2 linked regions of the Lytechinus pictus genome follow. The protein of the gene in region 1 interacts with the protein of each later gene in a pairwise test. Links are inferred from orthologs where the notes say so. Each region holds a gene or a part of one and is shown on either strand. Other genes may lie near its edges.

Evidence for each region.
Region 2: the proteins of transducin-like enhancer protein 4 (region 1) and homeobox even-skipped homolog protein 2-like interact in a two-hybrid assay, tested with the Drosophila melanogaster proteins (2 studies listed by BioGRID). The link is inferred for Lytechinus pictus from reciprocal best matches to the Drosophila melanogaster genes gro and eve.

The regions. Positions count from the first base shown.
Region 1 is NC_087249.1:5,394,999-5,402,601, reverse strand, and holds the start of transducin-like enhancer protein 4, read left to right. Parts: upstream 1-4,315; 5' UTR 4,316-4,941; coding exon 4,942-4,965; intron 4,966-7,603. UniProt on the Drosophila melanogaster protein: Transcriptional corepressor that regulates transcription when recruited to specific target DNA by hairy-related bHLH proteins. Maternally required for neurogenesis; in the segregation of the neuroectoderm. Directly or indirectly interacts with Notch and Delta.
Region 2 is NC_087247.1:44,796,589-44,804,271, forward strand, and holds the start of homeobox even-skipped homolog protein 2-like, read left to right. Parts: upstream 1-4,583; 5' UTR 4,584-5,185; coding exon 5,186-5,732; intron 5,733-6,639; coding exon 6,640-6,800; intron 6,801-7,683. UniProt on the Drosophila melanogaster protein: May play a role in determining neuronal identity. May be directly involved in specifying identity of individual neurons.

The sequences.
Region 1 (7,603 bases):
AAAAAGGGGGAAGAAAAGAGAAAGAAAAATACAAAGGAATGGAGGAAAGACAAGAAAAAAAAACAAGAATAAGAAAGTGAAGGAAATAGGGGGGAGGGGAATAATTGGATAAAAACTTTCAGGTAATTAAGAAAGCGCTCATATATATTTATGCTTCCTTGATTGGGATAACAATCTGCTCACGAGGAAACCATATAGGCCTAGGCTTAAAATATTCCGTTTTAAAGTCAATATGCAGAAATTATTCTCATGATTCGAGTTTTAATTATTATTTTGTTACAGTGAGATACACACCATGTTCATGATTACAAAAAGTATTTGTTTAATACCTTTTTAATTCAAATTGAATTGTTTCTGTTTTCCTTTAAACCACTTTTTTTTTCTGAAGAGGACTTGGATCTAAAAGGGCAAGTTCACTCCAGAAAAATGTTAATTTGAATCAATAGAGAAAAATCAAACAAGTATAACAATGAAAAAGAAAATGAATATGAAAAGATTAATGTATGTAACTATAGACCAATAGCTTTATTGCCTACTTTGTCTAAAGTTATGGAAAGGGTGATCTATACAAGATTATTAATTTTTTTTTATTAAAGATGATATAATTTCTGTTTTTCAATATGGATTTCGCCAAAAATATATCTCATGCCACTCTCTCATTTATTGACAAAATCACAAAAGCTATTGACAACTTTGAACACACAATAGATGTTTTTTCTGGACCTCTCCAAGGCCTTTGACACTATAAAAAAAATCATTAAATACTTCTCTACAAACTTGAAAATTACGGAATTCGTGGGAAGGCCTTGGAGTGGTTCAGAAACTACCTCGCAAATCGTAAGCAATTCTTCTCTACAAAATGTTAACCGGGGTGTTCCCCAAGGCAGCCTCATGGGCCCACTTTTATTTATAATCTATATAAATGACATCCAGAACTCCTCTGAAATAATGTCTTTTTTTGCAGATGATTCAAATGTACTCTACTCTCATCCTAACCCCGATATTTCAATTAATGTACTGAACACTGAACTGGATAAATTGGTACAATGGATTAGGGCTAACAAATTGTCAATTAATGTACAAAAAAACGAAATGCTTGCTTTCTAGCAATTCTTTATAGAACAATTGCCATTTAATATTAAACTGGACAATAAAGACAATGAAGTTATTACTACAACAACATTTTTAGGTCTCATAATAGACAAATTATCTTGGAAAACACACATTGACTTTATATGTCGTACAATTTCACGCAATATTGGTGCTTTCAACAAAGTTAATTTTTTTCTTTCAACTTCCTCCCTAGAAATGCTTTATTCAACATTAATTTTACCATATCTAAATTATGGAGCAATCGTTTGGGGGAAATACACACTCAATTACCTACCTATAGATAGAATATTGCTTTTACAAATGAAGGCGTTGCGTGTTATTTTCAACTTGTCCTGGAGATCCCACACAGATCACTTGTTTTTTAACAAGAACATTCTAAAAATAAAAACAATGTACCAATATAACTTAGGTCAATTCATGTATCAATTAAACAATAATATGTTACCACCCATATCTAATTCTTCATTTAACAAAAACAAAACTCTTCACAATATCCCACATGCACGTCAATCAGATGAATTCCATTAACCAGTTTACCACTACCCCGGACCATCCTTGCAAAATCAATTTTTACTTTTGAAGGCCCTAGACTCTGGGGAACTATTAATAATAACATCAAAAAATCACCAAGCCTAAATTCTTTCGCATATAAGTTCAAAAAGTTTCTCCAAGATAACCATTGAATTAACTCTTCATCACTCAAACTCTTGTATTTAAAATAAATCAAACATGAATCATGTGCATGATGTGACGTACACTTTTCAATCTCTTTCGTTTTCATGTTGATCAGCGAGGTCCGTTTGTGCGTATACTGGGGCTGGATTCTGGAGACCTTTTATTTCTCTTTTCTTATTTCCTTTTCTATTTTAATTTCTTCTTATTTTTTGTTCATTTAATAACTGGTTTATGCTCACGTTGTTATTAGCAGCCACCTCCATTTCCAACCTGATATGTAATAATCTTGAATATAATTTTTGTGAAGGGATACTTGAAATTTTCAGTGTTGTGCTTGTTGGATTTAACTTTATCTTTTTATGCAAAGCCACTCTCTGTTGGGGTGGACTTGTCCTTTAAGAAGAATTGGGATAAGGAGGAAACACCAAGGAAAACAGGACATGGACTTATAAACAAAAATGGAAATGATAATTACAGATCCCACCACGGAAAGCCTGTAAGTAGGCGTGATTATTTTGTGAGGGGGAAAACAAAACAAAACCAAGAAGGTGGCGGGAAAACGACCTTGTTGCCCTAGTAACAGGAGCCGTTCATGTTATCACCTGAGGGAATTTGATGAGCACTCGTGGACTGGTCTGTAGCCGCATTCTGACCTGACTCTTTGCATGCCTTCAGACATTTTTTTAAACACATGTTTTTGAGCTTTATTTTTGTTTCTCCTTCCTAAAGTATTGTTCTATAACGTGTCCCATCTTGAATTGAATGTTATGTTATTCAATCAATAAAACCGAAAGGAAAAGAAAACCGTGAGAGCAGAAAATTAAAAGCTGTCGGGTGAAAAGGGGAAACTCGACAAATCAAAATTTGATCACCCGTTTAGAATATTTTTTTTTTATATAAGGTATCTTATAATAATATTAATAATATGCATGCTTGAATGGTCGTTTAGATATACAGGTTACCATGTTCACTTATTATTTCCACTATTTCCTAAGCTGGGTTACTAAACCAATACCCTCATTTGTGGACTTAACTGCGGTAGCATAAACATTGGTTCAATCAGCCACATCTTTTACAGCGAAACCCTTTGACAGTGTGTACAAGCATTTGGAGCCTATGCAATTTACTCGGCGCGAGCACGTGAAGTTAATTAGATGAATATGCTTTAGCCAATCAGCGGCGTAGCTGTAAAGTCACCGATTTTTCGCTGGATAGTGGGCGTGTCCTTCCGTGCGTGATAATGCATATGTGTATAGGCGTAGCATTGCGGCTGTTCTTGCTATCGTCGGGAATAATATTTGGCGGTGGGAATTATTATCACCCAGCCGTAGAAAGGTCTTTATAAGATTTCATTTTATGATAGTCTTTGTTTTCTGTTGACTGATGGCCGTGTGTTGAATCTAACTCCTCGATGATGCCATATCTGTGGAATTTTCATTTAACATGACTTAAGGCTGTTCCAAACAGTCAGGGCTAGAGAAATTCCGACTCGATGTAATGAAATGAAAAAAAAGAAAAAAAAAAAAAAAAAAAAAAGACATGACAAATACACCAAACGGACACACGAATATCCCTGATCATGTCCTGACGAGGCACAATATGACCTCCATATGTATATTGCAGGCGTTGATTTGGACTTGAGTGTGACATGGTGATAGGTCCATGAGTGTGAAGAGAGACTTTGTGATTTTTGAAAATGTTTTTTTTTTCTAATCAAAGTTTTTTTTAACGAGTAGGCTGACATCATTAATCGATACCCCTGTTAATACTAATTTAAGTTGAGAAGATCGATTTTCACACCTCCGTTAAAATGAAAGGGTTTTAATAATTTTGAAGATTTAGAATATACCCCACTCTTAGCCAAACAGGTGAGACTCAGTAATCCACCATAATAAAAAGAAAACCTACGTTTTAAAACGCAATGTTGAGTTTTTGTTTGCCGTAGCTGTGTTCAATTCAGGCAAGATCTCTCAGCCAATATTTGATTGACTTGTTTTCACGGCAAACCCTCCCGGGTACACACACCATCTAGGCCGGATACATGTACACTGTATCGCCTGTGTTTATTTTTAATAAATAAGGGCGAGTTTTTTTCGCTCACGTAAGTGCAATCTTATCGTTCGAACCCCCGTTGCGGCTACCCCCAGGGTAACTTGATAATTTTCCTTGCTTTGTTGTTGGCTAGCTAATCCCTATGGAATATTGTGCAGCCTCGTCTGCCGCAGTGTGTATAGTGTGAGGCTGGATTGCCAGCTTATATCAGCGTGAAATGCAATCGGTTTCTGTGCCCGCATTCCGCGGATAAGTGGTAGGTGAGGCTTTCACCAATTTGTCAGCTGAACTTTAGTCAGGCGTGATCACGGTGTCACTCGCAGGGCGTGGCCTGTGGACGAACGCGCCGCTGATTGGTTGCTGAATCTACTATGCTGACATAAATTAGCGGCACGTGAATATCTCGGTTCTTACTGGTCACGTTCAATCGCCGTCGGTGATACAGCCAATCAATTACTTTCCTTTTATGGAATATATCACTTGTTTCTTTGTCGTCGCGTCCCGCGTGGAAACTGACCTATTATGTGGTATCTAAATGCCGCACATGATATAGTTTATTCTAAGCCAGATTTATAGTTTTGGATATGGAAAAAAAATTAAAGTGGTTTACGGGTCGTGCAGTTTTTCAAATTATATTTTTTGGTTAATTTTCGAACTAAAACATGGAACATGTATACTTTTGAGGCTTTTGAGGTATAACAGCGGTATCTATTTCCCCCAACAACTGAATATATCCTCGTTGAACTACAAGTGTACACCAGCGCTGAATTGACTTGGACGAATATACGCAGACACTATATACGCGGGCAAATTACTTCCCACCACACAAACAGTGTATTGAGTATTAAAGCCTGTCATGCCCGCCCATTGGATATACACGTAGTGTGTGTAAGCGCGTTGTGTGTATGCACGGGATATATATGTTTTACACACACTGCGTGCATGCTTCGCTGTTTGGAACGGCTAAGTTTACACATGAATCGAGTATTCATGGCCCGGACACCAAGGCGTTTCTTGAGGATTTAGAGTATTGGAATATATCATCGTCGATTTTTACATTTATTCTGGATTCTTAAAAGGAGTCAGTTACCTATTGCCGTCATGTATCCGCAGACCAGGCATGCAGTAAGTAAAATATTTCGTTGTTTTTGTGTGCTAATGATATAAAAGTCGGCTAGAAATAGTGTTAATGTTTATGAGTGCTGTGTGCGGTGTGGTGTACGCGGTACGCATATCGCATAAACCCGACCATAGCAAACACACTATCAATCAGTCATGAATTGCTCAGCTAATTCACTGTGGTCCCATTGACTGATATTGCAGTAAGTCGTGTAGTACTTTGTCTAAGACATGGAATGTGCTAGTGCATTGTCCATTGATTATATTGATTATACTAGATCATGATGTTTTGATGTAGCTCCTTGGCTTTAATAGATATTCACTTCCTTATTTTTATTGTAGACTAGGCACTAGCTTAATATTTATTGGTTGCCTTATTATTTTTTGTGTGAATTTAAATGTTGTTGTTAGGAATTTTGGAATGATGTCTGGTCCTGATTGTTGTATTTTTATGACCTAGGATCTAAGCATCTCTTTCTTATTTAAGAAAATATTCTTTTAAACCTCTACTTGTCATGCTTGTATTCTACCTTGAATTCAGCCAACTATGCCTTGACCTGGGCAAAAAAGTTGACGGATGTTAATCTTGTGTGTCTGATCATGGAGTATTCGCCAGGCCTTGCAATGCATAAAGACCCGGGCCGGTCCCCCTGTACTTACAGATGCAAAAAGAATGTAAAATGGAAAAAAAATGATTGCCATCTGTTGGAAAACGCTATGCATCTGTTGTGTACTCATTACGTACATGCTTCATAAGCTCTATCCATGCCCATCGAGCATCCGTCCATCGGAAAGAGGGAGGAAAGTTATAAAGGTACACGGAACGTATATACATCGTTAGTAGAAGTACAGAAAAAGAAAGGATGTAAGTGTATGCATCTCGTAAACAAAGTATTCAAAATCCTTGGTAACCTCTTCGGAGCTGTCATCCACTTCCATCCGTTTTTTGTCTCACCTGCATAGCAGAGTGAGACTATAGGCGCCGCTTTTCTGACGGCGGCGGCGTCAACACCAAATCTTAACCGAAGGTTAAGTTTTTGAAATGACAGCATAAGTATATGGACCTAGTTCATGAAACTTGGTCATAAGGTTAATCAAGTATTACTGAACATCCTGCCTGAGTTTCATGTCACATGACCAAGGTCGAAGGTCATTTAGGGTCAATGACTTGGACCATGTTGGGGGAATCAACATCAAAATCTTAACCTAAGGTTAAGTTTTTGAATTGCCATCATAACTTTGAAAGTTTATGGATCTGATTCATGAAACTTGGACATAAGAGTAATCAAGTATCACTAAACATCCTGTGCACATTTCAGGTCACATGACCAAGGTCAAAGGTCAATGAACTTTGGCCATAATGGGGGTATCTGTTGAATTACCATCATAACTTTGAAAGTTTATGGATCTGACTCATGAAACTTGGACATAAGAGTAATCAAGTATCACTGAACATCCTGTGTGAGTTTTAGGTCACATGTTCAAGGTCAAAGGTCATGTAAGGTCAATAAACTTTGGCCATGTTGGGGGTATTTGTTGAATTACCATCATACCTCTGTAAGTGTATTGGTCTAGTTCATAAAACATGGACATAACAGTAACCAAGTATCGCTGAACATCTTGTGCGAGTTATAGTAGTTTTCAAAGTCAGCACTGCTGCTATATTGAATCACGTGATGCAGGTGAGACCGCCAGAGGCATTCCACTTGTTTGCGCAAGGTTTCTGATGAACATCCCTTTAACGTCCGCGCTACATACTACCCACGTCCGTTCGTGTCCATTATGTTTTCGCAAAATTTTCGCTAATTTGTCCATTTCTGGAGCAGATGAAAACGGATGGAGCCACCCCCGAAATTTTGCTTGTACGCTTGTGTCCCTTATGAATGCGTTTTATGTCCGTCAGCTAGTGGGACCAGGCCTTAAATTTGTACGTGCAACATTTTTCATCATGTGCTGCCCCTTTCCAAATGGATGAACACCTTTTATGTGCTAATATTTTATAATAAAAAAAAAATCAGTGATGCAGAAGTGATGAAGACGTACCCCTGTTGCGCTTCACAACTCATTTGACAAACTTATATTTCGCTACCCCAACATGCATAAGTTGGAAAGTTATGATGACCTATTTCATGAAACTTGGACATAAGGGTGATTAAGTACCATTGAACATCCTGCCCGAGTTTCAGGTCACATGACCAAGGTCAAAGATTATTTAGGCCTTTAGGGTCAATGAACTTAAACCATGGATGTTGGGGATATCAAAATCTTAACCTCTCTCTTGTTTCCTTTCTCCATTAAGGTCGGAGATCACTGATATCAGTAAAAATGACTGAAGACGCTTCTTATGGGTTGCTAAAGTTAGACAAGTTGCTGAAAAGATTTTGGCACGTTGTGTGAAGATTGCGAATGAAGTATAAAATAAGAGTGTGGAGCTGGGTTTCACTAGCACTGCTAATGCGTACAGGGGGAAGAAAAAATACATTCTAGAAATAACTGGGGGTCTGCCTCAAAGAAACCTGGAAATCGTCTGGTATTGTTGTCCTTTATGTGATTGATGAGGTCACCGCACACAGATGCAGTGGCTGGACAGGATGAGACAAAGTGTTCAACATCTTCTGGATATACGGAACACAGTCGACAGATG
Region 2 (7,683 bases), on another chromosome or scaffold:
TATTTGTGCTAACACGAGAACATCTACATGTATGATGTCAATCAACACATGAAGAAAATATAATAATATAACAATATATATAAATATATATAATATAACAAAAAGTTGGTTTATTTTCGAGGAAGACGTAAAACCATGGAAAAATATCTTGGTGATTATAGTTACATTGGAATAATTGAATCTTTCATTTACAATTTTATTCTTTAATTTCAAAATTCCCCATGCAACAATGTGAATCGCCGTTATATGAAACAGCTGAGACATGGTCACTCTCATTTAGATCATGCATGTTTGTTGGGTTAAATGGCGGTCACTTTTGCCAATGTTTGCTGTGTAAATCTTAGCATTGATCTGTGAAGTACCCACACTTTTTAACAGTATTTTAAACCAATATAATACCCAACATACCTGCTTTTACAAAATTGTTAACCAAATATTGGGTAAAGGTTTATTCCGTGCTTTTTGACGAAGAATTGATATTATTTTATTTTCACTGAAATTACATTAAAAAGTATATATATATAAATAAATATAGTTGGTCAAGATGATATAGCATTGAATTTCCATAAGATGAAATAGACCAATCATATTTGATGTGGGCCTACTTATATATTATTTCAAAATTAATATTGAAATGTGTTAGCAGATGAATTTGTAAATAATCAAGATACTAACATCGAATATACTCTCAAGCAATAGTATTTTCCTAATTTGGCACTCTTATACATTGTGAACACCCCAAAAAAAAAAAACACAATAATAAAATAAAATAATAACCGGTAGGAAACAACCGTCATTGTGGTTGGTTTAGTAAGTGTGCGCCTAACAGGCTGCTTGAAATGCTATGAATCCAGTGACCGGGTAATATTAATTGTTAAGCGCTTTGAACAATCGTAGATTGATAAAGCGCTATAAAAATGCCAATTATTATTATCATTAAATAACCGATGGGATATTTTAGAATGTATTAATAATCGTGTTTTCCAGATCCAAACAACAAACCGTAACTCCTCAGGTCCAGGATTCAAATCCTTTCAAGGAATATTGGCACTAGACCATGCATTGATATTAATGTTCCCAACTCAACCAAGGAAAATAAATTCAAAATCATCGAACATAATCTCAGGGGCCGCGGAACGATTTTGAAAGTGGGGGGCTGAGCCGAAAGTGGGTGCTGACCATGCAAAACACAGTCAAATGGCGTTTTTAGAGAAAAAAGAGTGGGGGCTCACCCAGCCCCCCCCCCCTCCGTTTCCGCGACCCCTGCCATATTGACAGTTGTATGTGATAATAAGTGTCACACCTAGTGCAAATTAGCAATGTGGGTAAAATCCATAGTTATTTAATCTTCATGCCTCTGCGATTACATTTTGATCAAACTCGAACTACATAACTGCATAAGAAAGTTAGGGGAGCGGGAATGCAATGAAATGTCTAACAATAACATTTTATTTTAATAGTATAGCCAATGATCAATGTACATTAACCTGTCACTTGACGGCGATGTGCTTTTAGTCAAGAGTTTCTTGATCATCCAAATAAGTCACAGAATGGAAGAAAAGAGAGCAGGATTCTTTTGAAATTGAAAGCCGGATTCGAATGCCCGGGCTAGACCCGAGGAACAAAACAGTTGATCAACAACCTCCTTAACACCCCGCGAAACACAGCGGAACCTGGCCGTCACAATAGGGGAGATGACCAGGCGGTGAGTGCGACGAGCCGCTAAGATCTCCTTGTTCTGCGGCATACAGAAAAGCATCTATAAGAACTCTTTTATTGTTAGAAGCCAATGGGCATCATCACCTGGTCGAATTTTTAATTGATTTCTTAACTTGCCTACAAATTAGTTGAGGCATTTGCTAAGTGTGAATCACCCATATCATTTCTTTATATAAATAAATGCATTTTTTTTTGTTTATATATAATTGTTATTTTCAATAGATCAGAAGACTATTCATAATAAAGATTCCTTAATATTTCATCATGATTATTATGTTCCGACTCGGGTAGAATTTGCACTAGTAGTCCAATGAATTTATAACTCATAAAAAAAAACGGGTTACGGGTTCCATCTCTGTAACTTGATTACAATTTCAATACCAGAGAATTGACTTCATGGAAAAAAAATAGTCCATATGCAAACCTGAATTACAGGATTGAGTAGTCAATAGATGGGGAATATCTTCTCTTTTCATCTTAATTTAGTAAACCATTATGATGAGTTTGGGATGCGATGCAATATGTCACACTGCACCAACTCCGCTGTTGATTTACCACCAGTCCGGAATCTATGTATGTCCAAACCAGAAGTGTTAAGTGTTAAACAACACCAGTTTGGTTTTGATCTAACACCAGATAGGTGTTTAGACAGCACCAATTATAACTAAAACAGCATTGGTTTGATTCTAAACTGGTGTTGTTTTCGATACTTGCCTGGTGTGGACATATATAGATTCCGGGCTGGTGGTAAATCAACACGGGAGTATTTGCAGCGCACAGAAATCTCAATCATACACAATTGGGGGCGAAGATCCATGCTATATAAACTGTCATAGCCTCTGAAATGTAAATTAGTTAGATCGGCCAGAATGATTAAGAAAATCAGAATAAAATAAAATATATAATTTTTAATATATACATGCCAAATACCCATATAATTATACGAGACTATATTCGGCGCATTATTATCTCCAATATTACAGTAAAAGTACGCTTTTGTATCTTTGGTTCCATTGAATGTACATCATAATAATGACATTTACACTCATGTTAACTCTAAATACGTAAATATTTGTTTTTACTCACTATATTTATGTTTACTTTACAGAACAAGAATTATCATCATAATGTCAAACTACTGCATGGGCCTATATACAAACCCTGTGTAGTCACGATGTTTTGTTTATTTCTCCGGTTCTCATCTCTTACCATGTTGTAATAAAATATAGAAATACATAATCTTAAAATAAAATATAGAAATACATAATCTTAAAATTACGATACACATTGATTTTACAAATTTCATTTCAGTTCATTCATTTGACCAATGCCAGGTTCAAAACAATAGTAAACATGATCAGGATACACATGAAGTCGGAGCTTGTTTAAAAAAAATAAAGGTGAAAATATTTATTTTATTTCATATTACTAACATTAGTTATTGTGGTGAATATACTCTTTCGATTTATTAAAATCCAATTCATACTTGACATGATTGAGGATTACTCGACATTGGCATGCAGGGTTGATTTTTGTAAAAAAAAATTCTTTGTCAACATGGTAGTACGCAAAGCTTTTTTCTATAGGGGTAAGTGAATGTTCAAGAATACATATAAGCGAGTGAATGACGCTGTCGAGTTAATTCCGATTTTTTTTTTTTTTTTTTTGGGGGGGGGGGGGTAGTTTGAATTGAGATTGAAAGAGGAGGTGCACTCTTGATGTAAACAGTTTGGGAATTTATGCCCCATCCACACCCCTGCTCTGGGTAGAGTACAGCCATGGTATAGTCAATGTCTTCACTGGCAAAACCAGAGGGCGTTAAAATTACACCCGTCGTTGTTATGAAAGCACAACACAATTTTACACTGGTGATGATTTCATAGTGTTAGTTCAAAACTCATTGGTGTAATTATAACATATTCTGTTTATTATGCATGGTCTGGTGTTATATTGAAACACTATGACTTTTTTTACACCTGGCTGGTATGGGTCTCTCACAATACTGACTGGTGTTGTGTTCAACACCAAAGCCCTTTTATGTACATTGCAATTTAGGAGCCGAGGGCAATGACCCCAAAATTACTAGTAGCTAGTTTTCACATTCTTTTCTAAAATAATCCAATTAGACTTAATATGATCAGCAGCTAATCAAGATTTATCCAAAGACGTATCATCTAACTTGCATCGCTACCTATAAAGTACCTTGAATATCTTACAAGAAAACAATTTAAGTTGATCACCGAATTAAACTAAAAATCGAAACTCTATTTTTATTTACTTTGAGTCTGGGTTTGCCATTCCGACAGCTTTGTGTCATGGAGTTTGAAGTATTGTGACGGGGTAGACGGTGTAAGAGCTAAGCTTTCCCATTTTTCGTTTGAAAGGAAGATTTAGGATGATACAACGCCAAGGGCTCGTAAACTTTATACACAGATTTCAGTGAATGCATAGATAGCCAGAAAGCTGTAAAGAAAATAAAGTATGGTATTAACAAGATCTTGGGAGGGGAGACAAAAGTGAGAAGAGTTTCAATGACGACTTGCTTTCTTCTCAAATCTTTGCCCTTTATCACGGCGGCGATCAGAAAGCGAAAGCTGTAAGAAAGGACGAAGACGACCCAATTTGTGCCATGAATAGATATCAGTGTCTCATCCCATGCATCTATTTCAACTATCTTTTATGTTACTGATAGGGGTAGAGGCGGTGTCGCTGTGTGCCATTGACGTGTAAATGAGCGATCCTTTTCAACTTGACTGGTCGGGAGAACGCGCTTTTGTTGTTTTTGTTAGCCCTCCGTGTCCGCACGCCATTGTGCGCGTTCGCTATTGATGACTCCGTGTAATGGAGCTTTGATTACCAGATCGTTTAGTGTCTTCGGCTTGGAAGCCGCGATTAACATAACAAAAGGGGTACGCCCCCTTATTGGTGCGCTAAAGTTCAAAAGCACTGTCCCTTATTGGGTGTTACCTAATCTGGTATGGTCATGATTGAATTTAACTCACCGTATTTATATCCGAAGAAAGCTGGAACATCGTCATATTTCACTTTCGTCACCCAAGAGAGAAGTTATCATGTCTTCGAGTCTTTAAACTTACCTGATGAGAAAGTGAACTCGTCTGCATTGTTAATGTACTACTGATATCAGCTGAAAGTTGACACACAAGTTGTGTTGATATCCTTTAAATACCTTCGTCGAATATATTACATGGACACTTTGTAACCCTTGGACTCGACAACCACTTCGTCAGCAAGCCTGACCGAGGAAGCACTTTCCTGACCGTTCCACTTCAATTTTCCGAAAAAGTCAAAGAGCACCGATCATAAATTGATGTTGTGATATTTCATCCAATCAAGAAAGAGAAAGTTTCGGGTATCGGGCTTGTCGTCTAGATTTGATTTGGAGTTGATTTAAAGTCAAGGATTGGTGGACAGCAAACGTACATTGATCGAGTGTTTTCTGTTTAACATGGACAAAGGTTTTACCAACATGCTTCCTACGACTGACAACCAACATCAAGACTCCAACAACAACGTCACCACTACACCAGGAGCATCTCACAGTGCTGTAGCAGCCCCGTCAGAGGCTCGTCATCATACCCTCTTCATGCCCTATGCCGATGTTTCGTCCAGCAGTTCATCAAAGACTTCATCAGCTGCTGCCGTCATCATGAGCCGGGCCGTCACGGGAGGTGATGTCGCTGTCCCTTCTACGATCGGCCACCACCCAACCTTGCTGCCGTACCCCACGGCTCACACCATCCCATCGGCACAGACGTTGGACTTTCGTCACTCGACCCATCATCATCCCCTATCACGATCACCTAGTCCTCCTGTCAAGGGTGAACATCTCAGCGGCGATGAACACCAGGACACTCTACTGAATGGTCACTACTCTCGGGACTCTAGCCCATTGGGAAAGTGGGGTGATCGCCTCTCACCAGACAGCTGTCCTGACAACCTAGAGTTTGGCCTACACAAGACGGATTCTTCTCCACCAAATTCTGCACTTCGTGGTAAGTTATAGATTTGATTTCGCCAATTTTACTTAAATGTTCTTTTCAGACTTATTGCATTTTTAACACACCTGTGAGACCAAAAATAATTATTATAGTCGTTACACCAAAAATGTCTGTATCAAGATGATTTTTCTGATGTCTTTTATTACTTTTCAATTTAACGATTCGTTTGGATAAGAGATATTTTCCAGTTATATGTGTATTTTAGAAGGAAGGAGGGTAGGAAAACGTATGGGTTTGAAGATTGAAAGAGTTTTTCAGCTGATTGCCCCCGACACTTGCCGAGCGTCACGCCACGTTGGCATGGGGCCCGAGACCTGTATACTGCTCTAATCATGTAGAATATTATCAACCTACTGGTTACTGGTGAAATCATGTTGACCATGCACTTATAATTTTCCATTTTATGATTTCCCATCATTAGCGATAATGACAAGGGGAAGTCAGGGTGCCATCATTGCCACCAAGAGCCAAAGTATCAAGGTGGTCATTAACTTTAATATGCTTTTGATTAGGGTTGGGGTAGATGTGACTTGTTTGTCAGATCAAGCGTTTGCTTCAGTTGATTTCAAGATTATGCAGTCATGTATATAATTGTAGTTGATATATGATATTCAATAGTTGATGTTACGCGTTGAATATGCTCTTGCTATCATAATGTGGATGCGATTATTGAGAATATACTTACAACAAATTGCTTACGAAATTGTGTGATTTTTTTTTTCTTCTGTAAACAAATTGCAAAATTAAAGCTTAAGTTTTGCATAAGTTTTGAAATTTAAATATTCTTAATATTTAAAACAAAAATCAAATATGTTGGTAATTGTACATAAATATTTGATCTATATTATATTATGCGATCAAGTTTTAATGATAAAACGTGTTTCACTTTTCCTGTTTACAGCTGACCCGCTGGACCCATCACAGGTTCGCCGATACCGCACCGCATTCACCCGGGAACAGATCGGCCGACTTGAAAAGGAGTTTGCCCGTGAGAACTACGTATCCCGACCCAAACGATGCGAGTTGGCCACCGCTCTCAATCTACCAGAAACAACTATCAAGGTATGTATTATTTTTAGTTTCTAAGTCAAAGATATTTCATTTGGTATAATGCACATAAATTCGATTTGAATGTTTCAAAGAAGGGGCGAGCTTTGTTAATAATCATGCAGACATGTGTTTTGACCTTAGATATTTTCAATGGAACCCGAGAAAAGCACAGAGTTGATTATTGTTTAGCATCCTTTACTATATACTGCTGATTGTTTTGACCCGTCAAAGAAAAAAAAATATTGAAAAATTGTAACAAGAAATAAAATTTTGATCAAATTGAATATTCGTTAACGTGAATATGTTGTTTATGGCTTTGTCATATATTTTAGGAGTTGCTTGTTAAAGCTCATACATGTAGCCTGAAAGTACAAAGTGATCAAGTGACTTAACTCAAGTTTCACACATCATTTACTCTCCGTTTTTGATCATTTACAACTTCTGAAAGTCGAAGTTTTTTTGGCGTCGCCTGATCGTATCCCAAACCGTTCCTCTTGATTCGGAAAACATAGAAGTTTAGATTAGCATTACAGTACAACTTATTTTTAACGTTTCGGTTCGCTTCTTAAGAGGTTTCGTATTTTGCTGTAAAGTTCCTTCCGGCTTAGTTATCTATTTTTAATCCCATCATCACCAATGATCACCGCAAAGCAAATATATTTCCTTAAGATGTTGATCTGTTATGCATCATTAATACATAGTTGTAAAAGGGTTATTCACTATTTGAGAAGTATATAGGCACCTGTATAACGTAATGACTTTTTATTTGATATGCATGACTTGATTCAAGTAGCAACGCAATCGTCAGTGCGAATCTATATTTTGTTCAAGAATACATAAATATGCTTTTTTAAATACATTTAAATAAAAAAAAAAGAATTGTCAAGAATTGGTC